Linked DNA regions of Nothobranchius furzeri. The protein of the gene in region 1 interacts with the protein of each later gene in a pairwise test. Links are inferred from orthologs where the notes say so. Each region holds a gene or a part of one and is shown on either strand. Other genes may lie near its edges.

The links.
Region 2: the proteins of NEDD4-like E3 ubiquitin-protein ligase WWP1 (region 1) and smad3a interact in binary tests that used the Homo sapiens proteins (3 or more experiments, as listed by UniProt). The two-hybrid records come from large-scale screens. The link is inferred for Nothobranchius furzeri from reciprocal best matches to the Homo sapiens genes WWP1 and SMAD3.
Region 3: the proteins of NEDD4-like E3 ubiquitin-protein ligase WWP1 (region 1) and cpsf6 interact in binary tests that used the Homo sapiens proteins (3 or more experiments, as listed by UniProt). The link is inferred for Nothobranchius furzeri from reciprocal best matches to the Homo sapiens genes WWP1 and CPSF6.
Region 4: the proteins of NEDD4-like E3 ubiquitin-protein ligase WWP1 (region 1) and arrdc1b interact in binary tests that used the Homo sapiens proteins (3 or more experiments, as listed by UniProt). The link is inferred for Nothobranchius furzeri from reciprocal best matches to the Homo sapiens genes WWP1 and ARRDC1.

What each region holds. Positions count from the first base shown.
Region 1 is NC_091747.1:36,664,379-36,670,297, forward strand, and holds part of NEDD4-like E3 ubiquitin-protein ligase WWP1, read right to left. Parts: coding exon 5,792-5,919; intron 4,111-5,791; coding exon 3,977-4,110; intron 1,466-3,976; coding exon 1,325-1,465; intron 1,234-1,324; coding exon 1,113-1,233; intron 890-1,112; coding exon 785-889; intron 620-784; coding exon 523-619; intron 443-522; coding exon 370-442; intron 1-369. UniProt on the Homo sapiens protein: E3 ubiquitin-protein ligase which accepts ubiquitin from an E2 ubiquitin-conjugating enzyme in the form of a thioester and then directly transfers the ubiquitin to targeted substrates.
Region 2 is NC_091749.1:43,542,956-43,548,423, reverse strand, and holds the end of smad3a (mothers against decapentaplegic homolog 3a), read right to left. Parts: intron 3,829-5,468; coding exon 3,684-3,828; intron 1,695-3,683; coding exon 1,571-1,694; 3' UTR 1,349-1,570; downstream 1-1,348. UniProt on the Homo sapiens protein: Receptor-regulated SMAD (R-SMAD) that is an intracellular signal transducer and transcriptional modulator activated by TGF-beta (transforming growth factor) and activin type 1 receptor kinases.
Region 3 is NC_091741.1:47,839,507-47,845,898, reverse strand, and holds the start of cpsf6 (cleavage and polyadenylation specificity factor subunit 6), read right to left. Parts: upstream 4,019-6,392; 5' UTR 3,927-4,018; coding exon 3,867-3,926; intron 2,271-3,866; coding exon 2,064-2,270; intron 1,973-2,063; coding exon 1,869-1,972; intron 1,747-1,868; coding exon 1,601-1,746; intron 1-1,600. UniProt on the Homo sapiens protein: Component of the cleavage factor Im (CFIm) complex that functions as an activator of the pre-mRNA 3'-end cleavage and polyadenylation processing required for the maturation of pre-mRNA into functional mRNAs.
Region 4 is NC_091746.1:74,984,700-74,990,618, forward strand, and holds part of arrdc1b (arrestin domain-containing protein 1b), read right to left. Parts: intron 3,981-5,919; coding exon 3,870-3,980; intron 1-3,869. UniProt on the Homo sapiens protein: Functions as an adapter recruiting ubiquitin-protein ligases to their specific substrates. Through an ubiquitination-dependent mechanism plays for instance a role in the incorporation of SLC11A2 into extracellular vesicles.

The DNA.
Region 1 (5,919 bases):
AAATTTCATCTCAAAGTAGTCACAGATCATTGGTGATGCCTGGAAAACTTCTCCTTTAGTTTCAGAGACAAATGAGACAAATGAGACACCTAATAGATAAAACAAAGGGAACATACACAGGAATCAAACCGTCTGTAATTAACCGCTGTAATAAAATCTGTACAACTGCACCAAAGTCATCTGCCCCTCGTGACCAGGCCATCTATGGGCATTATTATGGTGTTACTCCTAGAGTCCTGCTGGTTCATTCCAGTCCCCGCCTGGTGAGACTCGGTCTTGTTCACATGACATGATTCATCTATAAAATGACCTCAGCATTCAGATGTGTCGTCCTGCTGACCGCAGCATGTGTGTGAGATGAGCACTGACCATGTGTGGCTCCGAGGAAGCCACGTGTCCTTCCCCACCTTCTCAATGCAGAACTTCTGAGGACCGTTACTTCCTGAAATCCATCAAAACGGTGAGCTGAGAAGACCGTTTGCATCAGCGCAGCTCCAGATGTTTCACATGTCTACTACTGACCCATGAGCTCAGCAAAGCCGCCCAGAGGAAGCCTGCAGGTTCCAGTGACAAACTGCATGAGTCGCAGTCGCACCTCATTGTCCACTTCTTTCACCAGCTGCGGGGACGAAAGTGAGGACAAACTCAGTCATCATTACTGACCCGACTGCCCCTGCTCAGCTCTAGAGGACGGAGCCAGACTTTAACAAACACACGGAGAAACAAAGCCACCACGAGGATGAGCAGCTCTCTAAAACCTGTAGCACAGGTGAGGAGCGAGTACCTGCCAGAACCAGATGATCTGTTTACTGTTCCTGGTGTAGTGGCGGTACACAGTGTTCCTCTGCCAGTCCTGTAGGTCCACCTCCTGCATTCCACACAGCATCACCTAGATCACACACACACACACACACACACACACACACACACACACACACACACACACACACACACACACACACACACACACACACACACACACACACACACACACACACACACACACACACACACACAAGATGATAAGTAACCTCTATGGCGTGGCCTTGGACGGTGCGCGTCAGTGTCAGGTTATAATAAACGATGGAAGTTAAAAGTAAATGACTGCTCACCTCAAGCTCCTTTTCATCAAAGTACTGGAGCCACTGAAGCGGAACCACCTCATTGAATCCATCCAGGAAGGCTTTGGTCTGACCTTCGACCCCACGTGAGAATCTCCATTCTGCCATCAGACTGCAAAAACACAAAGCAGCAGAGCATTTCAAACGGAGCTGCTCTGAAGGAAAGCCAGAGGCGGAAGGGTTTCCTGTGATGAGAAAACAACCTGATGTATTCTTCTTTGTTTTCCTCAGTCACCAGGATGTTGGCGCCATCGGGTTTGAGGTCATGAGAAGTGATCTTCCCCAAGATCTCCATGTCAACTGAGAAGTACATCTCCAGACCACATTCCTCTATGTTGTTGTCCCTGAGGGGAGGAGATCCTGCTTATTAGGGGTGTGTCCTGGCAAGAATCTGGCAACACGACATATTCTGGCACGAAAAGTCAGATGATAGTCGCAATTTTTAGGACTAAAATTAATCGTACAAGTCAGTTCAGACACCTCTGGTGATTTTGTGAGAATAAAGGAGGAAAATCCTGCTGCCCCCTAGCAGTTGGAGTGTGAATTGCACCACACAATAAAAATTCTGGAAATGTTTGAATGAAAATGCTCAATAAAAATAAATCAATGCACAGCTTTTAAACACAGATTTAGTATCATGACATTTCAGTGTGTCGACAAGCTCATACTTGTTTCTTGTTTCAAATGAAAACAAAGAAACTGACTCAGAGCTGCTCACAACACTTTCAGGCTGTGGGTCTCCCTGATCCTGCCTCAGGCAGCTCTTCCCTCCAGTCCAGCAGAGAGGAGGCTGTTTGGTGCAGAAGTCTGAGGTGTGACCAGTGGAAATGTAAAACGTTACGTGCTAAGAGAGCTCTGGTTCAGTTTAGTTTAGTTTCAGGACCTTTATGTGGAAAAAGAACCCCCGGACTCGCCAAGTGAAGAGCTGACAGAGAAATGCAGCTCGTATGTGTAAGGGTAAACCAACATGGTGGCCTGAGGCTGTGATGATCTGCGAGGCCAGCAGGTGCTTGACACATTCTCTACATAAAGCCATCTATCACGACACCTGCCGTGGTTCGTGCTCAGGGTTTTTCCTGCGTTCAAATTTGCGTGGCGGCCACCTCCAGCTAATGTTGTGCCGCCCCAGCCTGATTTCACTCTGCCCCCAGCTATATGGATGTTATTTTAACTGCAGTTGCAGCGTTGCGCCACTACACAGGTGCTGTATCAGCAGCAGTGCACTAAAAAGCGCGAAAACCGCTGCAAAAAAAGATGAAAAATGGCTTTTCTCGCTAGTTGGTACATATCTTTGGTTGGTGCTATTGACGTCCTGATTTTCCCCCAGGCTCTTCCATATCAGAGTAGGGCTCAGTGCGACAAAAAAAAAAAAAACACTGTCTGTGTGTGTCTGTCTATTTTCCCCAGAACTTTATTGAACAAAAGTAAGTTACGTGTAAGAAAAATGCTTTTTACTGGCACACAGTGTGGAAATCTGGATGCAGTGGAGGAAAATAAAGGAACCAGCAAAGGCAGAACTGGTCCAAAGTTTGGGATCAAAAGTGCTGCTACACACAGATAGGCTAAAGCTAACAGGTAGCAGTCTCACGATCAAGTGGCGCACAGAAAAATATATGATGATCGAAAAACTAAGACTAAACTCTACAAGCGGATGAAAAGTCCCCACCATCCTGTTTATCCTGCATCCTGCAGCACTCTGGATCAGAACCGCTGCAGATACGAGTGACATTACTGCTACAAGTCTAAGGCAAGCCGTTGTAGTATATAATCCACAAACGCTTCTATCTCTGAACATAATTTGAACTGGATTATTGCCAACCCGTACATAATGGACATGCCACCATTACACTGTTAGCAGCAGAAATGAAATGTTATTACCATTTCCAATACAAATGCATGTTAATGAAATGCATTATATTTTACTGGATATATTTATGTGTTATTTTGACTAAGATGAGTGTTATTAATACAAACCTAAAATGTTACTGAAATGTAGGTTAAATATTTAAAAATATTTTTAACTATAAATATCAGATGGGAAAAGGGAACTAAACACCAATCTAATGCATATTATTGAGCCTTTTATAATAAGTCTGTTATTTCAGCCTGATCATTTTGTTGTTTTATTTCGTAATTTTTAGCAGCAAACCAGTTTTGTTTCACTTGAAATATTGTCAAATGGAATACTCTATTCATCAACAGAAGCTTAGATTAGAACACTTGACAAAAAAATATTTTGCCTTCAAAAAAGTGAGGCAGTTGAATGCACCGAGTATGCATGTGCTGGTGCATGGTCAGGACGGTACCACCTCTGCCTCCATTTGATTCAGGAAAAACCCTGTTGCTGTACCGGCTAGACCTGGTAAAAGTCTCATGGAGCTGGTTAAAATCTAAACAATTAATGACAAAGCCTGCAAAGATATAACTTATGCAACATTTTATTCACTTTTTTTTTCAGTTCTCTTTTATCTCAGTGATTTATTTAGTTCTGTTCCACAGTGTTAACTTAAAGATCTGGTACTCAGGAGTCTTTTTCATTTTCAACGTTTGAAATGTTGTCCTTGCTCTTATTTCCGATGCAGGTAGGGTTGTGGGTTCAAAAATACCTCCCAAACTGAATAAACGCCTATGAAGAGAAGAAGGGTTTGTTCAAACGGACTCTAAACATGGAGCACTGAGCACATTTGTTCATAATGGGATGCTTTTTCTCTCAGAAATCACGTGAATGAACAAAATCCTTTCAGTAATATTTTAAAAGAACTTTCCTCTTGAAGGAATCTTGAAGGTGATTCGTAACACCCGTAACCTGCATGTCTATCGGCCACACCAAACGATGCTACAGCCCTGATGTTTACCTGATCCATATGAGTGAGTTGTAGAATTCTGGGTCGATGGACTCCAGGTCTTTAAGGATCAGCTTCTTGTTCAGCATGCGTTTGTAGAAAGGCAAGGAGAAGCCCGTGTCGATGAACTTCCCGTGGAAAAGGGCCTACAGGAACACAAGAGATGACTAATTACAGAAATACAGATTATGTGCAGGTTCGTGCATAAAAGTGAAAACATATGAATGGCTGCTGATTGAAAAACATCCGGAAATTAAAGCTGCAATAAAAAAATCTGCAAAACTGGCTAACTTTTAAACACAAAGACAGTCAGAGAACTCTCACCCTTCTTGTCAGCCATCATCCCTAGGCCACTCCCCCCTGATATGGGAACCCGCATTGTCAGAGAGAGTGCTAAACACCAGTCACCAGTTTCTAGATCCAAGCATTTTTTGTTGTCTGTGACTTCAAATGGTGTTTTTCTTTCTGGTAGTTTGTCCTAAAGTTGAAGTGGTAGCAGCCACCTGTTTCTGATTCTCTGATGTTATTGAGCGGAGAACCTCTCACACCAGTGGTATTCTGATGCTAAATAACTGAGTGTGTGTGATGAATGGAGGACCCAGGGAAATGCAGCAGTTCAGTGAGCCAGTGTTGGACAGCCGTCTTCTGACCAGACACCGCACTAAACAGTTTTGTGGGACAGTTAGGTGTCCTAGGGGGAGCTCTCTATGAGCTGTTAGCTGTTTATTGTGTCAGTAGCTAAAATAAAGAGTAGCAGTTGGCAAACAGTGAATAAATAGCTCAAGAAGAAAACTCAATTCTGTTGGCATCATGGCAGAGCCTGGAAGTAGGAGAGTAGTGTCTCTGGAGGAGAAGCAAAGAGCTAAAAGTCGGCACAGCCTAAGGAGCTAAAGGAGGCTATGAAACTACGGACCGATGGTGACCTGGCTTTGTTGCTACTGAACTTGTACGCAATAATATTTTGTACAACAGCGAGGATCGTTTTACTTTGTGGTTTATTTTAGTATTAGTCGGCTCATGTAAGTGTTAGCTTGTTTATTAGCCTTAGCTACAGCAGGCGGCAGGAGAGTTGTTTACAACTGTTGTAACTCCACTTTCAACCAGTAGGGCAGAGGAGCAGGAAATTCTTTGGTGTTACTTTAATACTAGTCATTACTTATTCCCAACCAATCAAAACCACAGACCCAGGTATGCTCCATCACCAAGCCCTCCCCTCTTAAACAAACATAAAACAAGAAGTCACAACAAGGAGACTCAGGAGAAAACTGTCCCATAAAAATGTTACAGTAGTTCACCAGCATGGCAACATTTTGATTTTTACACGTCTAACAGAAAAGAGACAACAGTCATTTACAGATTTAGCAGAGAGTTGATGAAAACCAAGCAACTAACTTGTTTTATCATAAAATAATAAAAGAAAACGGTCCAGCACTAGTTTGGATATTCCCAACACATCCTGGAACGTGAGTGGTGCTCCAACTCATTCTTCTTTTTTCTTGTCCTCACGTCCAACATGTTAGCATTAGCAGTAGTTTGGGTTAGCTTTACTGCCACCAGCATTTATTTATTTGCCGACGCTGAAGTGGGTTGGGACACGCGTTGTGTGTGTGGGAGGTGTTGATCCAAGCTTATGAAGTGTTCTCCACAGCCACTTCAACATGACTCATTTACCAAGGAGAGCGCGTCAGAGATGGCTCAGGCTTTTGGTACATCGGACACCCCAAGCTGCCTTTATTCAACAACAAGGTAAATGTGGCTTTAGATTCTGGGATCCCTTTAACACCTCCCATCCTTACAGGGCTGGTGTGTAAGAGCCTGTTAAGGTACCATTGCGATGAAGCGTCCGATGAAGCAGAAGTAGGAGAGATGGTCCGGGTTGATGGCTGACGCTGGGTTGATCTGCAGACAGTAGTTGCTTTTCCCAGCATACTCAAACAGGCAGTACATGGGGTTTA
Region 2 (5,468 bases), on another chromosome or scaffold:
AATCTCACACTTCAGTTTTCAGGTTCACACGTCACTTTTTTAACATTTCATAAAATTCTATGAACATAAACATCTTTGCTGTTTCCTTTTAGCCCCTAACATGTTAGATTAGCACCGACCGGCTGGCATTATTGTCTAGTGTTACAGAAGGAAACTGATCCACTTCCACCTGAGTGGGCGCTTCACAGGAAACTAGAAACTTTTTAAAAACTTTTCTGCCTCGTAACCCATTCATTTAATACTGGTCACAAATAAACACACATCTGTGTGTTAAACGTAGAGACCTGAAAATTAAAAAAGGACACATTTTAAGACACTACTGATATTTACATGCTTCTATTTATCTACATGTTTCCCTTTGTCAGAAGCTTTGATGAAATCGGTTAGCAAGTAGAGAATTGGCCTCCAAAGCAGCCAGTGGTGTGTTCGCTCAGGTCACACCGCCTGGACAAAACTGACTGCTATAAAAAACACACACCTGAAAGTCTGAACTATGATTCATCACTTAATGATGTTTTTATTTCCAGCGGTTTTCCCTCTTGAGTCCTATGTGAAAAGTCAGTGTGGCTAAAATAAGACCAGTTAGAAGCTGCTCTTAAGTCTCGCTCCTTCCTGCAGTTTTCACACATTACGTGTTCACATAAGTCTGCTCAGCTCTAGAAGTCTGAAGGACATTAAAGTATGTGAGATGTGTTCAAGTTTAAAAGCATTTATTCATTACAACATAAAATGCAGCAAAACTGGGTTGAAAAGTGGCAAAGCTTCCTGATTTTAATGCATAATTCTCTCATTTAAACTTTGATGAGTTTTCCCAACCTCCTTAGACCGGAATATCAACTTTCAACCAGAGTTCAACATTCATGCAGCTACTTCCAGCAAGTTTAGCTGTTTCTAAATACTTGAGTAAAGTTTTAAAGTTTACTACCAGCTGCTTCTCATCTACTGTCAAACCGGTGTCACAAACTTTGACAGTTTCTTTAGACGGGTTTGAATGTTTCAGCTCGTCTGTAATCTGATCCCGTTTGAAGATGAACATTCCTGTTTAACAAGCTGAAGAAACGAGAGCTAAAAATATTCCTGTAAACATAACCGTCTCCTTTTATTATAGGCATCACTTTCGGTCTGGCTAACTGATTCACATCTGCACCAAAACGTCAGATGACCAAATACTAAAAAAGTCAACTGAAATGTTTTAAGATTCAGAAATGTGGGACTAACACAATCCACATATTTCTTTCTTTTTTCTAATTGATCTTAAAATCTGTACAGATGATCAAAACCATAAACAGTTTTCAATCAAAGAGCAAATAAAATAAGAACTCCGTAAGTCTAAAGCCTCTCTGGCCCTCAGAGATTAAAACTAGCATCAGGTTTTACTAACACGGTCCGACTTTAATGCACTTGTCCCCTTTTGCCACAAACTGTGAAAAGTGCTTCTGATGGCAAGTGTGTGTTTGTGGGCGATAAAGAGTGGCTGAATGAAGAGTCTGTCATCTTTTAGTTTAAGTTTCGTGTCTCTGATGAGGAGACGAGGTGCACAGGAGGGTGGGCGGGGCGAGGAGATGCTGCCCTAGGAGACGCTGGAGCAGTGGATGTTCGGGGAGCCCATCTGTGTGAGCACCTTGTCGAGCCACTGCAGCGGGCCGTTCAGGTGCAGCTCGATCCAGCAGGGGGTGCTGGTCACTGTCTGCCTCCTGCAAACACGCACGCACGCACGCACGCACGCACGCACACACACACACACACACACACACACACACACACACACACACACACACACACACACACAGGAAACAGATGGAGAGAGGGGACAGCCAGATGTTTAGAGAGAGAGAGCGGACTGACACAATCAGGATTCAGGAACTCGACATCTATACTTCTACATCACACAGTAACACTGCTGACGCCACGCTACACTCGTGCTGCTGATGGTCCCGGTGCAACAGAACTGGGATCAGATGATGATCACATGTGATACGTGCATGTTGAGGTTCATCTGTGTGCATCTGGCAGAGAGAAAAGCTTCATGAAAAGAGATAATTTCCTGTTTATAAATGTTCCCATTCTTCTGGTGTGTTTATCTACTGTTGCTAAGCAACAGAATCCCCAATCTACAGAGCAGATCTTGTTCTTCCTAAGCTAATGTTCATAAAAGACTAAATCTAAGGAGCTTTCATTCAGCAAATAAAGAATCATTCTGTTTTGTGTTCATGTTTATAGCTGCTGTTGTTCATGTTTATTTACCAATTATTGATCCGTTTTACACTTTAAAAAATTCATTTAATTAAGATCATATTTTAAAATGCAGCAGAGTAAAAAAAAGAAGCTTATTTGATCATTACATGATCTGCCTTTGTCCTGATTTCTTACTCTGAGAAAACAGTCTGTGACTGATGAGATGAAACCAGTGTTTCCAGTTTGATGCTAAAAGTGGAATAAAAAGGTTTTAGATGATGGCGTCAGCAGTGAGCAGTAACACTACCATTCATCACAGGAGGAAGTGGCTCAGGTTTGTGAAAAGATTCGATGTTCTGCAAACATCACACCAGCTTCTGTTTTCACTCAGCAGCTGCTGTTTGATTCTAAACAACACCTGCTAGCTGAGATGGTCGCTGCTAAAAGCGTCACCGTATCCTCTTCCTGTTGCTTTGCTTTAGTTTTGCTTTCATTGGTGTTTGGTATATTTGTAGGTGTAGCATTTGCCTTTTTTAGGTTTGAACTTGGTAGTTTTTTATGTGTGTTCCTTTCTACACTTGTTCTGTAAAGAACATTTAAGAAGGAACAAAAGGGTTAGGAACAGAGCTGGAAAAGGTGAATCCTGGTTCCTCCACATGCCAGCATCTGGTAGACTGCTCCTCGCAGCACAAAGGTCTTTCGTTTGTGAAACTAGTGCATGGAGCCAGCCCTCTGCTCTGTCTCCTCCTTTCTTACTATCAGTGAGTCAACCCATGTGGAAATCTCAGAGTCGAAGAGGGAAAGTCTGACGTCTCTTCTGACACAGCACATGTGTGTTTGTTTAGAAATAGTCTGGGCCTGTTTCTGTTGACGAGGGCTACATGACGTCATCCTGAGGATTCACCAGAGTGTGAGTGGAGGTGGCTGAGCTCTGTGACTCAGAGCGTGCTTCTATTGTCTCTTTTTACGTGTAGACCCATGCTGTGGGGAGTCCATCTTTGATCAGTAATCTCTACACAATGGCACAGCTAATAAGTGAGGGCTTAATATTTATTCAAAACTAAACAGTGACTCAAGGACCAGATTCCAACAAAACAAATGTGGGATGTAGATCAACTACCGGTGGTTAGAGGTAACCTGAAAAACATCAGACTGATGTGTAATAAACAGGCTAGAGATTAGGCCCTTAACATTATGTAAACTAGACTTGCTCTGAGTAGTTTTCTCCTTTGTGTGAAACTTTCCACTCTTCTAGTGAAATCTGCACAATTAAAAGTTGTTGTTTTTGTAACTTCTTTTCTATTTGGCAGGAGCAGGAACCTAAATCGAGCGTGCAGTGCTGGATTGGCAGAGCCCCCATAATGGAGTTTGTTCTGGACAGGATTCAAACCCAAGACAAGCACCAGTTCTACTCGGTTGTCATAGAAAATAAGAACCAATCCAAAAGTAGGAAATCATCTCAGCTGTAGGGTGAGGAACAAGAATCATGAAGAATCTGAACGGTTCACCTGTATTCAGCTCCCCAGCCCTTGACGAAGCTCATGCGGATGGTGCACATCCTGGTAAGCTGGTAAACAGCCTCAAAGCCCTGGTTGACTGACTGTGCTAGCAGGGCAGCAAATTCCTGGTTGTTGAAGATCTTGAGGTTACATCCTAAAGGTAGCAGAGCAAGGAGAAACATAAAGTAGACACAACATTATACAGGCAGCACACCGGTTTGTCCTCTGGGTTCTCCAGATACGCTGATATCAGACCAAGACAATCCAACAGGTTCACTATCTGGTTTAAGACTGGAGCAGTGAGAACTAGAGAACTTCTGAAGCCTGATTCTTCTCCATCAGCTCAGCGATTGAGATACACAATGCCATTATGCAGGCCCCCAGAGGCTGACAGGGACATGCCCATCTCTAAACTTCCGTTCATCTCCAAGATCTTGGAAAAGGTTGTGGCTAAACAACTCACAGCTGCTCTTGATGAACATAACATCTATGATAGCTTCCAGTCAAGTTTTCGTAGAGCTCATTCTACTGAAACCGCTCTTCTTAGGGTCTCTAATGACCTTCTGACCCACAGTGATGCAGGGGACTGTTTTGGTCCTGCTGGACCTGACTGCAGCCTTTGACACTGTTGACCATCACCTGCTACTGGAGAGGCTGAGACTGGGTAGGCCTATCAGGATCTGCTCTGGAGTGGTTCTCCTCTTATCTCTCTGAGCGCTCCTTTTCTGTGGCCGTCTCTAAGTTTAGGTCCTCCACCACCTCTCTTACCCATGGTGTCCCACAAGGTTCTGTGTTGGGGCCTCTACTCGTCCTCTATCTGCTTCCTCTTCAGCACATCAAGAGCTCCTTCAAAGGAATCTCCTACCATCTTTCTGCAGATTACATCCAACTGTACATCTCCTTCGAAGGATCTTTCATGGCGGTTAAAACGAAGAGTCGGAGTACCCGGCCCGGAGGGTTACCGGGGTCCCACCCTGGAGCCAGGCCTGGGGTTGGGGCCCGTGAGCGAGCGCCTGGTGGCCGGGCTTTCGCCCATGGGGCCCGGCCGGGCCCAGCCCGAACCGGATACATGGGCTCGTCCAACTGTGGACCCACCACCCGCAGGAGGAACATGAAGGGTCCGGTGCAATGTGAATCGGGTGGCAGACCAAGGCGGGAGCCTTGGCGGTCCAATCCCCGGACAAGAAAACTAGTTTTTGGGACATGGAACGTCACCTCGCTGGCGGGGAAGGAGCCGGAGCTTGTGGCAGAGGTTGAGCGGTACCGGCTAGATATAGTCGGACTCACCTCGACACATTGCATTGGCTCTGGAACCCGAGACCTGGAGAGGGGTTGGACACTCTACTTTGCTAGAGTTGCTCCGGGTGAGAGGCGGAGGGCTGGGGTTGGCTTTTTGTTAGCCCCGAGACTCTCTGCCTGTGTGTTGGGGTTTACCCCGGGGGACAAGAGGGTAGCTTCCTTGCGCCTTCGGGTCGGGGAACGGGTCCTGACTGTTGTTTGTGCTTATGGGCCAAATATCAGTTCAGAGTACCCACCCTTTTTGGAGTCCCTGGGACGAGTGCTAGATAGTGCTCCATCAGGGGACTCCATTGTCCTGCTGGGGGACTTCAATGCTCACGTGGGCAATGACAGCTTGACCTGGAGGGGTGTGATTGGGAGGAACGGCCCACCTAATCTGAACTCGAGCGGTGTTTTGTTATTGGACTTCTGTGCAAGCCGCAGTTTGGCCATAACGAACACCATGTTCGAACATAAGGATGCCCACCGGTACACTTGGTACCAGGGCAGCCTAGG
Region 3 (6,392 bases), on another chromosome or scaffold:
TGGCTGCAAAGCATTGCAGCTTCAAATACAACTTTGTCTTTACTTGTGTTTATGTAGACAAATAAACTAGATATGATATATGGATACATAAACTTGTGCTCCTGATCCGAGTCATTTGATTTAGACTATGTACCGATACAGAGACCCGATCCGATACTTCAGCACAGCATTAATGTAAGAAAAATGGGAAAACATCCAAATAATTAAGTTTCTCTGCCAAAAAAAAACAAACAAAAAAAACATGACTTGCTTATTAGGAAGTACACGAATAAAACAAACGTGCTAATATTATAAATATATATAAAAGTAACAAAGTTGCTCATACGTCAAATTGTTTACATCCTCATTATGCGGCTGTATTGAGTAACGCGCGTTCCCGTGATGGGGGGGGGGGGGCATGCAGCACTACATCCAGCAGGCTTATCTAAACAAAGAGATGTGAACTGGGACTTAAAGCAACTCGATGAGTCATTGTGGCGATGCCCGAAGGGAAAAGGCCGAAGGAGAAGGTAGTTTGTTTTGAAGGCTGCTTATCATGCAGCTCTCTTTTCCAGCTTGTTGAATGCCCAGTATGCACACATAAGTGGCTGTTAAGCCTAATTTATACTTCTGTCAGCTCCACGAGGGAGACACGCACGAATGGACAGAGGCGATTTGTTCGGACTTCTCCGTCTCCTGAGGAGTGTTGCAAAGCTGTTCCCCACCAGGACAACAGAGGGTGTAGCGCTGTTCTGAGGTATCCTGTCATGTATCTGGCCCAATATAGTGGATTTTGGGACAGCAGTAGCTCAGGTGGTAGAGCGGGTTGCCTCATGATCAGAGGGTCATGGGCTTGACTCCAGCTCCCGCCAGGGGTATCCTGCTGTTGTGTCCTTGGGCAAGACACTTCACCCAACTTGCCTGTGTTAGTGGTGGTCAGAGGGGCCGACGGCACCAAATGGCAGCCTCGCCTCTGTCAGACCTCCCCAGGGCGGCTGTGGCTACAAGTAGCTTACCATCACTAGCAGTGTGTGAACGTGAGAGTGAGTGGAAAAAGCGTCTTTGGATGTCTAGAAAAGCGCTATATAAGTTCAATGCATTATTATTATTAATAATTATTGCGTTTTTTAAATTTTATTTCCGAGACTTTTTAACACGGACAAAATTGTCCCTCCTCCTACTCCACCTCTTCATGCACTCGCCACCTCTAAGCCTACGTTTCCCATCATTTCCATCCACGAAAAGAACGCTTGCTGCATATTTTTTCACTCCTCCAGTCACCGGTGAATAAAACGTTCATACTTTAAGAGTTTTTCCACGAGGTATTCTTCAAAGCGGCTCCGTGTCTGCCTCTAGATGTCTTCTTAAAACTAAGCCGTTTGAAAATTTCTATTCAGGAAGAATTAAAAGTTACATTTGTTGTTTTATACGGTTAAATCCAATCTTTTTCACACGATTCTCATCTTCGGAAAATCAAGTGATCGGGCCTAAACTCCAAACGCTTGATTGGATCGGCGCATCAAAATCAAAAACACTGACGCTCATCTCCACAATAGATTGGTAGCTACCCTAAGTTGGTAGACGTTCTTTTGCAGATCTGCCATTGTAACTTTAAACTTACTTTTCCGTGACTGCATCTCAAACTGACTGAGGGACTGTTTGTTGCACGGTGTAACGATGGGATTCTGTCCATGGAGCTCCCTCTTCGACAACAACTCCATTAACTTCCTGGATGATGCTTCTGAACCCACACACACGAGAGCAAATCTGAAGAACGCAAAGACAAACACAAGAGTCATTTTAATAATCATGCTCACAGCAATCAGAGAAGCTGGAGACAATACAAGGGTTATACTTAAATCAAACACAAAAACAATGGCCTCACTCACCCTTTTGACTGGCCATTGGCTCTGTTTTCATAGAATTTAATCTCTAGCACATCTGAGATGCCTATTGAACGGACGGCTTCTGTCAGGTCTTCATCTGTTGTCCACTGTGAGAGAAAACAAAATTTGAGTGATCTTACCAAATTTTCTGATGAATGCTATAAAAACATTTTGGCTGTTAAGATGACCGATACCCACCCACGTGAGGTTTCCTACATACAGGGCAATCCTTTTGCCTGTGTAGGTGTATGCGTTGGGTGGTGCACTCTTCCCCCCCTCCGAGCCACCTGGAGCAAGTGGTGCATCCAGGTACTCCCGGTCTTCAGGAGCATCTCCATTATTGGCCGAAGGTGAGATTACATCATCATACAAGTCGATCTGCTCATGAGCTGGGTACTCTGGTTCCTGAGGTATGATAAAATGTATGAATCAAAAACAGGATGTTTCTACTTCATTCTTTTCACTTTAAATTGTTTATTTACATAAAAAAAATCTACTCTATATTGAGTGCTTAATAAATCATTAGTAGTCCCCCTTTACAGAAACTATAATTCGTTTTACTGATTTGTATTATTTAAAGATCAACTTTACTTAGATTTTTAATACATTTGCGGTGGTCTCTAGCAGGAATAAATGCCTAGTAAGTCATACTCTGGGGGAAAAAAGCTCCGGTGCACCTGTTTCAGGAACTAGAAGTGGGCCAGATCAGAGGTGAGCTTCGGACGGCAGGGTTTTGTGTTTTATTTCCTGATACTTGGACATTTCCCTTAAACTGGCCAACAGCAATGCAACTCTACCACTGACTGCTTGCTGTGTGACACTGATGTTTTATCTCCACAAACTGCACAAGCTTGAAGGAGTTCTGCTGTGTGGTGGTGTTGCTAACACCAACAGGTAGCTTTTACTAGTTCCCTGCTGTTTACCGGATGCTAAAACAGAAACAACCTTTCCTGTTGCGCGAGTCAAAACGGGCGAGTCCATGAATGTTAAGTGACTGTGTGATGAAGATCTGTCAGGCTTTTCAAATCCTAGAGTTTCACCGACTATTTCCTACCAGAAGCTGATGCAGGAGATAGGTGTAGGAGACTGTTTTCATGTTCAGAAATAATAAAAAAAAATGGGTTTTCAGTGTCACGTTAAAAATATGAGAGATAATGTTAAAATTTCAATACATGTTGTTACCAGGACACTGACTTAAAGGGATTAAATTCCTATAAGATGTAACTACTGTTCAATGGACTACATTAAAGTTGTTTTATACATTCGTGTGAGACATTTCAGCGCCACCCTTTTGTTGTCTTTGGTACCTCGCCCTGGCATTAAAACAAATTAGCTTGCGTATGTCGTGCTTTTGTTGTAGGAACATTGAGGGATTATTGTTGATTACCGTTCAAATCATGGAGGCTGTTTGTCCCTCAGAAAGAAGGGGCGTAAGCAGCGAAATGCCCGGATGTACTGCTTCTTTACGCAGCCTCTACAAGCTAGTGCTACAAATGTTCTATCAACTCATCTCTAAATTAAACATGCACTTACCCAGGCACTGCGGAGCATTCCCACTCATTTACTTTAAAAGCGAATGGGTGGCAGCTCATAAAAATCTGAGCTGATTCACACGATCGTTTGGAAAACCTACGAGGTTAGCTCATAGTAGCTAACAGTAGGAGCATCTGTTTGACTCGCTGGTCCGCCATGGGAAACCACGCGGAGGCCTGGAAGGGAGCTACACGAATAAGTGGCTATAAATCTTGTTTACTCGCGTAAAATTATACTAATAATTATGTACCCGTTGTATAAACCCTTGGGCAAAACACACGCCTCGGTGAATGCTTTTACTTCAAAGGCTACATTGATCTGAAGCTGAGCTGCAACCAAGCGCCCTGAAAGGCCTCTTCAACAGACTCGCATACAAATACGATTTTATCCAATTCTAATACCAACAAATGATTACAAGCCTCCACAAAACCAAACACGGTTGAATGAACTGCCGTGAGTTAATAATACCTGGCTGAATTCCTCCTCCACATCGGCATAAATGTCGATATGATCCACACCATCCGCCATTTTCTCCCGATCCGCCGCTCTCTACCCGCGCGGCGGTGCAGTCTGCAGACCCAACAACGACCCACAAACAAGCAACCTCAGGGCGCGCCCCTGCTGGCCGCTGTGGGTACACGAGTAAATAACCCACTTTTCATTCTAATAAGTTTCATAATGAAAATCTGTTTGGTTTGGAGACATGAAATTTGACACACTTGCACCCATCCATCCATCCATCCATCCATCCATCCATCCATCCATCTATCCATCCATCTATCTATCTAATAATAATAACAATACTATGTTCTTATATATGTAAAAATATGTCCTTATGTATGTAACATAATACAATTTGTGTTTATTTTTAAAATATTGTTTATAAGTACATCTTGTTATCAAGTGGACCAGTTAGAGAGTTGCCAAAGTTGTGTGTGGCCAAATGTCTTCAGACCATCGAATTACTACAAGATTAAACATGTTATAATAACCATGCATGCGATTAAAAAATATTAATTATCTTCTTGTTTGTATGTTTGTTTGCACCCTTGTGGGGTTTTTTAAATCAGCATTACAATAAACGTGTTATCAAAAAATTAAGAATTTTTTCTTAGCTAATTTAAGAAAAACAATCACAGCTAGAAATATTTAATACGTCGTGATTTGGTCACACAAAAGACACACTGAAATATTGCATTTTCTATGATTTATGTGTTTTAACGAGATAGCAGCTGGTGGTGCTCTACGGGTTTAAAGATCTTTAAAGCTCGTTTACGTACAAATGTTTTATTATTTGGAGCCTAGTATTGGGAGTGTTGGACTGGATTGGAGTTGTATTGTCACAACATAGCCACAAGAGGGCGACAAAGGTTTCAATTAAACAGCACAAAGAGACATCAACGTTCTATTGTTTCCCTCTTGATTGGTTCTTTCCTTTTGAAATTACTTAATCGATTCCGTTGATTTTGTTCCAGTAATTTCAGAAAATGTTGCTAAGAACAAATATTTAAAAACGTATCCTAATATTTCTAGACTTGTATCTGGTGAGCATGTGATCAAATAATATATTTTATTAAATTTACCTCAGTTCTGTCCAGTTTATTTATATAGTGCCAAATCACAAGTCATCTCATGGCACTTCACATTACTAACCAATTCAATTCATTATACCAATTAGTAAAAAGTTTTCCCATATAAGGAACCCAGCAAATTGTATTGAGACACTGCCTAGTGTCAGTGTCTTTTACAGCAATCCTCATTCAAAGCAAGCATGTAGCAACAGTGGAGATGAAAACTCCTTTTAACAGGAAGAAACCTCAAGAGGATCTTGGATCAGTATAATCAGCCATCTGCCACGACTTACTGGGGATTGACTCACCCCGGCCCCTACACAGCGCCAGGTGGGATATTCTGGCCACACGGGCGATATGGGCTGGATGGCATTTCATTACAGTTTTTCTCAGTTGCTGTGGTGCATTTCTCACAACTGGATTGATCTCTGCACCACTACTAAGGCTCTTCTCAAAACAATTAGTGCAAACTGCAAAACATGGTGGATAACTTGCAAAAGTGAATCACTTCATCAAAAAGAAAAGTCAGTTGTTGAAAATAAGTAGTCAATGCTTCAAAAGCAAGTCCCTTAATCAAAATAAATAATATATTCATCAAAGGCAAGTACTTATATCAATCAAAGTGTCAGGGCTGTCACAATTACAAGTGATTACACCGGCACCTTTGGTCACAAAATCAAATGGTTTGAACGTGTTCTCATTGTGACGGATTTCTTTGTAGGTGCTTCCCAATGACATGTCAAGTCTGGACAGCATGCACGGCATGTTGAAAACCATAAATTGTAAAGGAAAATCAAGACACTTCATGTGCACTCTTGATAATATTTAATCGAAACTGTTCACAGCATTGTGCAACTGGGGAAATACAGTAAAACAAATATTTTACAGCAAATATAAACTCACTTACACAGTAAGCCTTACTGCAGTAGTTATGAAACAAAAAAAAACTGAACAGACACTGCTGCATATCAATCATTGATATCTACACGCTCCCGTCTGTCTGCCCACATATTTTCATCAGCATCACAGGGAATGTCAGCTCTATCGATGCATCGGGGAAAGTATCTTCTGGAGTGTCGAATCCACCCTCTGCAGGACTCTGCTGTGATGTCACCACAAGCTGCATCCATAGCTGCTAGCAGGGCCATTTGGGTATGTGGATGCCTGTCATATACCTTCCACCGGCAGGAAGAGAAAAACTCCTCAGTTGGATTTAGGAATGGAGTGTAAGGAGGAAGAAACTCCACAAGCATCCTGTCGTGTGCTGCAAACCACTGCCGGACTACAGCAGAGTGATGGAAGCTAACATTATCCCAAACCACTACACACATTGTCCGATTGTCACCAGGACACACACCAGTTTTCATTAGTGTGAGCTAAGGTTCACCTGAGAAAAGTAATTTATGGAGATTTCCATGGAAAC
Region 4 (5,919 bases), on another chromosome or scaffold:
GTACAGGGAAGCTTGGGCACGAAGGTGTTCAGGTTTCTCTCTTCTCCTCGAGTGCTTGTGTGTGTGTTGCTTCGTGGTACTTTGGTGATTTTGTGGTTTACTCTCGATAATTAGGATTTCTGGTAACTCTGACTTTGGACTGGCCTTTGACTCCCCCTTTTGGATTTCTCCTGAGCGTCTCTGCTTAACAGGACGTCTCTTGTTTAGTATTTGTATTTTTTTTTTAATTTAGTGTTTTACTAATAGTAAATATTTCAGTTAGATATTTTTCTCCTCCCAGCCCTTTTGGCTTGGCGCTTTTTGTTAACCCTTTTTCCCTTTTATAGGCACTTTGTGTTTAATAAAAATCCTTTGTTTGAGACAAAAATACTCTTATTATTATAAACTTATTATTTACCTACACACAACATCTCTTACTCCCTCTACCACATCTCTCCTAGCGACCAGAGGGACGTAACAAGATAAGAACAGAAAAACAACGCAACTAGAAAAGAAACGGAAAGAAGGTAACAAGGGGTATTTCTCAATGCCAAGGAACCTCGCCTTGATGCCTTGGCCCCGCCCCGGTTGCCAAGGAGATACGTCATCAGGAGCCGCCAACACGTGTTCCAATTTTCATGTTCTACCGTGGCGTGTGTTCTCAGTTTGTTAGCCGTTTAGCTAGCTGAGCGAGGATACACGGGAGGTGTCTTGTAGCCTAGCCTTGGTCAAAAATTACTCAGAATACACTGCGGTATTTTCAAAAGGACGGCGGATCAGAAGCCGGCAGCTACTTCGGGGACAATTTTCAAGTTTAAAAGTAAGTCAGCTAATTTAAAATGTTTTTTTTTAGATCCAAAGAAGTTATCTATGGTTGGTTAGTAGCTTAGTAGTTGCAGCTGCGGTGGCTAGCGGGTAGTAACTCACTTATATTTATTACTTAATAAACATATACACAATTTAAAAAGTAAAACAAGAAGACGAAAATATCATTTCTATAGCGACTCTCAAGATACAAATCACGAGGCCCTTCACAAAAACAAAAAATGTAAAAAATATTTATAAAACGCTTAAAAATATATTTAAAGTTAGCAACAATAGATAATTGTGATTAAAAATGTTAAGAAAGAGAGAGAGTGGACAGGAAAGAGGGAAATCAGTGGATCCTGAGGAAGGTGGAATAGGTGGGGAGAGCAGAATAAAGAGAGAGAGGTGAAGAAGGTCATACAAAAGCCAGCTTGAACAAGTGAGTCTTCAGCTGCTTTTTAAAGGAGACCACTGAGACCACTGATCTCAGGCTCAGGGGGAGAGAGGTCCAGAGTCTGGGGGCCACAGCAGCAGATGATCTGTCACCTTTGACCTTTAGCCTGGTGCTGCACAACCAGTAGGCTTTGGTCACTGGACCTCAGGGACCTGCTGGGGGTGTAGGGACTAAGAAGATCACCAATGTAAGATGGTGCTTGTCCATGTAAGGCCCTATAGACCAGAACCAGGATCTTGAAATGAACCCTGAAGTTGACTGGCAGCCAGTGAAGCTGGAGGAGAAGCGGGGTGATGTGGGTGTGTTTGGAGGACTTGGTCAGAAGCCGAGCACAGGCGTTCTGAACCACCTGTAGACGGTTCAAGGAGGTTCTGCTCAGACACGTGAAAAGAGAGTTAAAGTAGTCTAAGCGTGAGGAGATGAAGGTGTGGAGAACTGTCTCAAGTTCAGAGCGGGACAGAATGGGACTCAGCTTAGCAATGTTCCTGAGATGGAAGAAGGAAGAGCCAACAAGAGAACTGACATGAGAATCCAGGGTGAGAGCTGGGTCAAAGGTCACGCCAAGATTCCTGACAGAAGGTTTGGTGTGGGAAGCAAGCTGACCAAGAGAGTCTCTGACTTTGGGAACCAGCTTGTCTGGGGCACAGATGAGGATCTCAGTCTTATCTTCATTCAGCTGTAGAAAGCTCCCACCATCCAGGTTTTGATAGAGTCTAAGCAGGTGTGTAACAGCTGCAGCTTAGACATCTCATGGGGCTTAAAGGAGATGTACAGTTGGATGTCATCTGCATAAAGATGGTAGGAGATTCCTTTGAAGGAGCTCAGGATGTGCTGAAGAGGAAGCAGATAGAGGAGGAAGAGCAGAGGCCCCAGCACAGAACCTTGTGGGACACCATGGGTAAGAGAGGTGGTGGAGGACCTAAACTTGGAGACGGCCACAGAAAAGGAGCGCTCAGAGAGATAAGAGGAGAACCACTCCAGAGCAGATCCTGACAGGCCTACCCAGTCTCTCAGCCTCTCCAGTAGCAGGTGATGGTCAACAGTGTCAAAGGCTGCAGTCAGGTCCAGCAGGACCAGAACAGAACAGTCCCCTGCATCACTGTGGGTCAGAAGGTCATTAGAGACCCTAAGAAGAGCTGTTTCAGTAGAATGAGCTCTACGAAAACCTGACTGGAAGCTATCATAGATGTTATGTTCATCAAGAGCAGCTGTGAGTTGTTTAGCCACAACCTTTTCCAAGATCTTGGAGATGAACGGAAGTTTAGAGATGGGTCTGAAGCTGCTATGGAGAGAGGGGTCAAGACTCGGTTTTTTAAGAAGCAGGTGGATTACAGCGTTCTTAAAGTAAGCAGGGACCTGACCAGAAACCAGAGAAGCATTAATTATAGAGAGCACGCTGGGACCGATGGACTGAAAAACACTTTTAAACAAAGATGAGGGTAAGATGTGGAGGGGGCATGCAGAGGTCTTCATAGAGTTAACTAGTTTGGTTAACTCAGGCAAAAAAAACAGGAGCAAAGCTATCTAGGATGATGGGCCTGGTTGGAGTCGGGAGAGGCGGCGATAAGGCTGAAGGAGAGATGCTAGATCTAACCTTATTGACTTTGTCCACAAAGAAATACAGAAAGTTCTTACAGTCTGCAACAGAGTGGATGGAGGCTGTAGGAGAGGCAGGAGAGATGATGCTGCTGATGGTGTTAAACAGCACCTTGGGGTTCCCTTTGCTCTGGGACACCATGTTGGAGAAATAGGAAACCCTAGCGTCTCTGACTGCAGAGTTAAAGGACGTCAGAAGATCCTTTAGGTGCAGCAGATGGACGTGGAGATGGGTTTTCTTCCACAAACGCTCCATTTTTCTGCATTAGCGCTTCAGGCTGCGAAGGCTGTCATTAAACCAGGGAGTAGGGTTCACTGCAGGACCTGATCTGGTTCTGACAGGACAGATGTTGTCCAGAATGGAGAGGCAGTGCTCGTTGAACTGAGAAGTTAAGGAATCTGGGTCGTTATCAGAAGAACAGGGTGGATCAGAAGCAGCAGAAAAATTGCTAGCTGTGCTCTCATTAAGAAAACGAGAACTAACCAGACGGCGAGCAGGAGGTGGGGACGCAGAAACTGACAAGTTAAAGAAAATGCAATGGTGATCTGAAAGGCTCGTTATATATTTATATTGAAACTAATACGTATAAAATATAATGTTGTCTCCCGTGTCACGTGACGTTACGTGACAGCCGTGGAAGCCGCGGTCACATGATGCAAGTCTGTTCCATTTAACCGTTTTCTTTGACCAAGGAAGGACCGTGTCCTCGTAAGCCAGGCGCCTGGACATTGAGAAACACCCCATGGACTTTCAGGAGTTGTTTAAAACCAAAGATTAGTTCTGAGGAGACATTTTTACAGAGCAGGTTTGCCGTGTTTGCTTCAGTTGTTCACTTCCCTGGTAAATCTATGACCTAACAACAGCAAATGTTTGCTTTGCTCACTCACATCCCATAAAGGACGGCTCTGTCCTCAGTGTGGACAGAAACAAGAGAAAGCTAAAGCTAGAGTTTACCTCCGGGCTCTAAAGTAGCCGTGACAATGCAGACCCTTTAAACATGGAGGTTTCGAATCCCAGTGAGACTCGAATTACCTTTATCAGCTACTGACAGAGTGCTGTTGAAGTACTGCTCCTCCAGAGTCCACGAGGAGTCGTTCATTTTGGTGGAGATCCCACATGAGCCCTGGCAGAACACCTTGATGGCTGTGGAGAGAACAGGAAGTCGTTTAATCTTAATGAAAAACTAGCGCTCTTCATGTGTTCTTTACACAGAACTGGACGAATACGGCCAGAATTGAGGACAATATAGCATTCGTATTTAAATGGGAAAACCAATTAGTCTGTACACCCTGACCAGCATGAGAACGGAGCAAAAAGGGCATTTAAATTGGTTTGTGTTCGCCGAGCAGCAATAATACCAGGGTGTGAACAGAGTTTTAGTGAGTCAACAGCGAGCTGCATGGAGAGTGTAAATAAAACGTTGGTAGCGCTGGATTCTCCGACTCATTATCCAGACGACGAGATAAACAGCCTTCTCTTCAGAGTGAAAAACACTTTTATGAAGAATTTCAGGAGTGAACAAAAAGTTTCTACATTAATGTGAATTATTATGATAGAATTAACCAGAAATCAGTGGAAATGTTCATGTGTGCTGAGATTCAGGCGCCTCTTCTCTTGTGTGTCGGCGCTTCTTCTTGTTGTCTGTGAGGAAATGACAACTCTGATAACCAACACTAAACATGTGACAGATGCCGGAGGATTAGGCAGAAAGACGGAGCCGTCTGGTCTCACTATCATCTTGTTGTACAGAGCTAGGAGGCAAAGAGAGAGCTAATGTTGTAAACTCTCTCCTGAGAGCCTGAGGTCAGTGGTCTCCTTTAAAAAGGAGCTGAAAACTCACCTGTTCTGGTTTGGTGGGACTAGTGTTGTCAAAAAAATCAATACCTAGATATAAATCGATACTAAAGGTGGTATCTAAATTACATATTCCATCTCTATGGTATCTATATTATGGAGTCTCACATATACACAGCCTTCTTCAAGTACACCGACACACACGACAGCCAGATGCCGTAAAGCAGCCTCCGCCTCCCGGACAAACAGAAGAAGAAGACGCCGCATGGCTACATTGTTATTTCCCACGCGAGTTGTCTCCGATCCAAGTTTCGTTAACAATGGCAACAGCGAATTCGGGAGGCGCTTCACAGCCCAACTTAATCGACAACACAAAGAGCAAAAGTGCAGAGTGGAAACACTTTGGATACAAGGCTGATGAGTCGAGGAAAGCAACAGACCATGACAGACCCGTTTGCAAGGAGTGCTACAAAGAGATCGCTACGAAGTCCAGCAGCACAACACATTTGGCCAAGCGTCTGAGAGACCGACACCCCAAACTGCATGATGAAATGAAACAGGTGTCTAAAATTTATTAAATCTAGTAAGAATGTGTCTAATTGCACCAACAAATTTGAGCTCACGTATTAGTATTAGCTAAGCTAGCATACCAAGTCCGACACGTAGTTGTATATTCACGCTTATGTGCTTAAAGGAAACTCCCATTTATTGCAACCCGGTCTTAATTTCTAGCATGCAGTACGTTTGTTTACTCACGCTGACAACTTTGGTGCTACTTGGATTCCCTGGGGTATTTAGATCCATCGGCGAATCGCCATCAGTGTATATCCATATAACGGGTGCGGACGGGCACCCATGGTGCAGCCTCGACATAAGACATTATCTGCACCAAAACATCTTCATGTCGAAAGGCTTTGTTAGGAATCATTAACATGATTCCCCTGTTCGTTTGGAGCGGGTCTGGGATTTCTAGGCGTAAATAGACTAGCCGCGGCTAATCTAACCGGCGCTTTTAATTACGTCACTGCCGTGCGCCAATCTGTTTTTATTAAGATTACCGGTAGATGTACCTTTGTCCTACTGTGGAGAAATTCGTTTTCTCCCTTTACTGACCAACAGAGTTGTTCAAAAGTAATGAACAAAACATTAGCATTACATCTTATGACAAAAATGCACCTTAAACAGAGTTTAAGCAGCAAAACTGAAGTTCCTCGTGCCTTTAAACACGCTGTTCTACAACCAATCTTGAAAAAACCCGGCCTCGATCCCACCGATTACTCTAATCTAC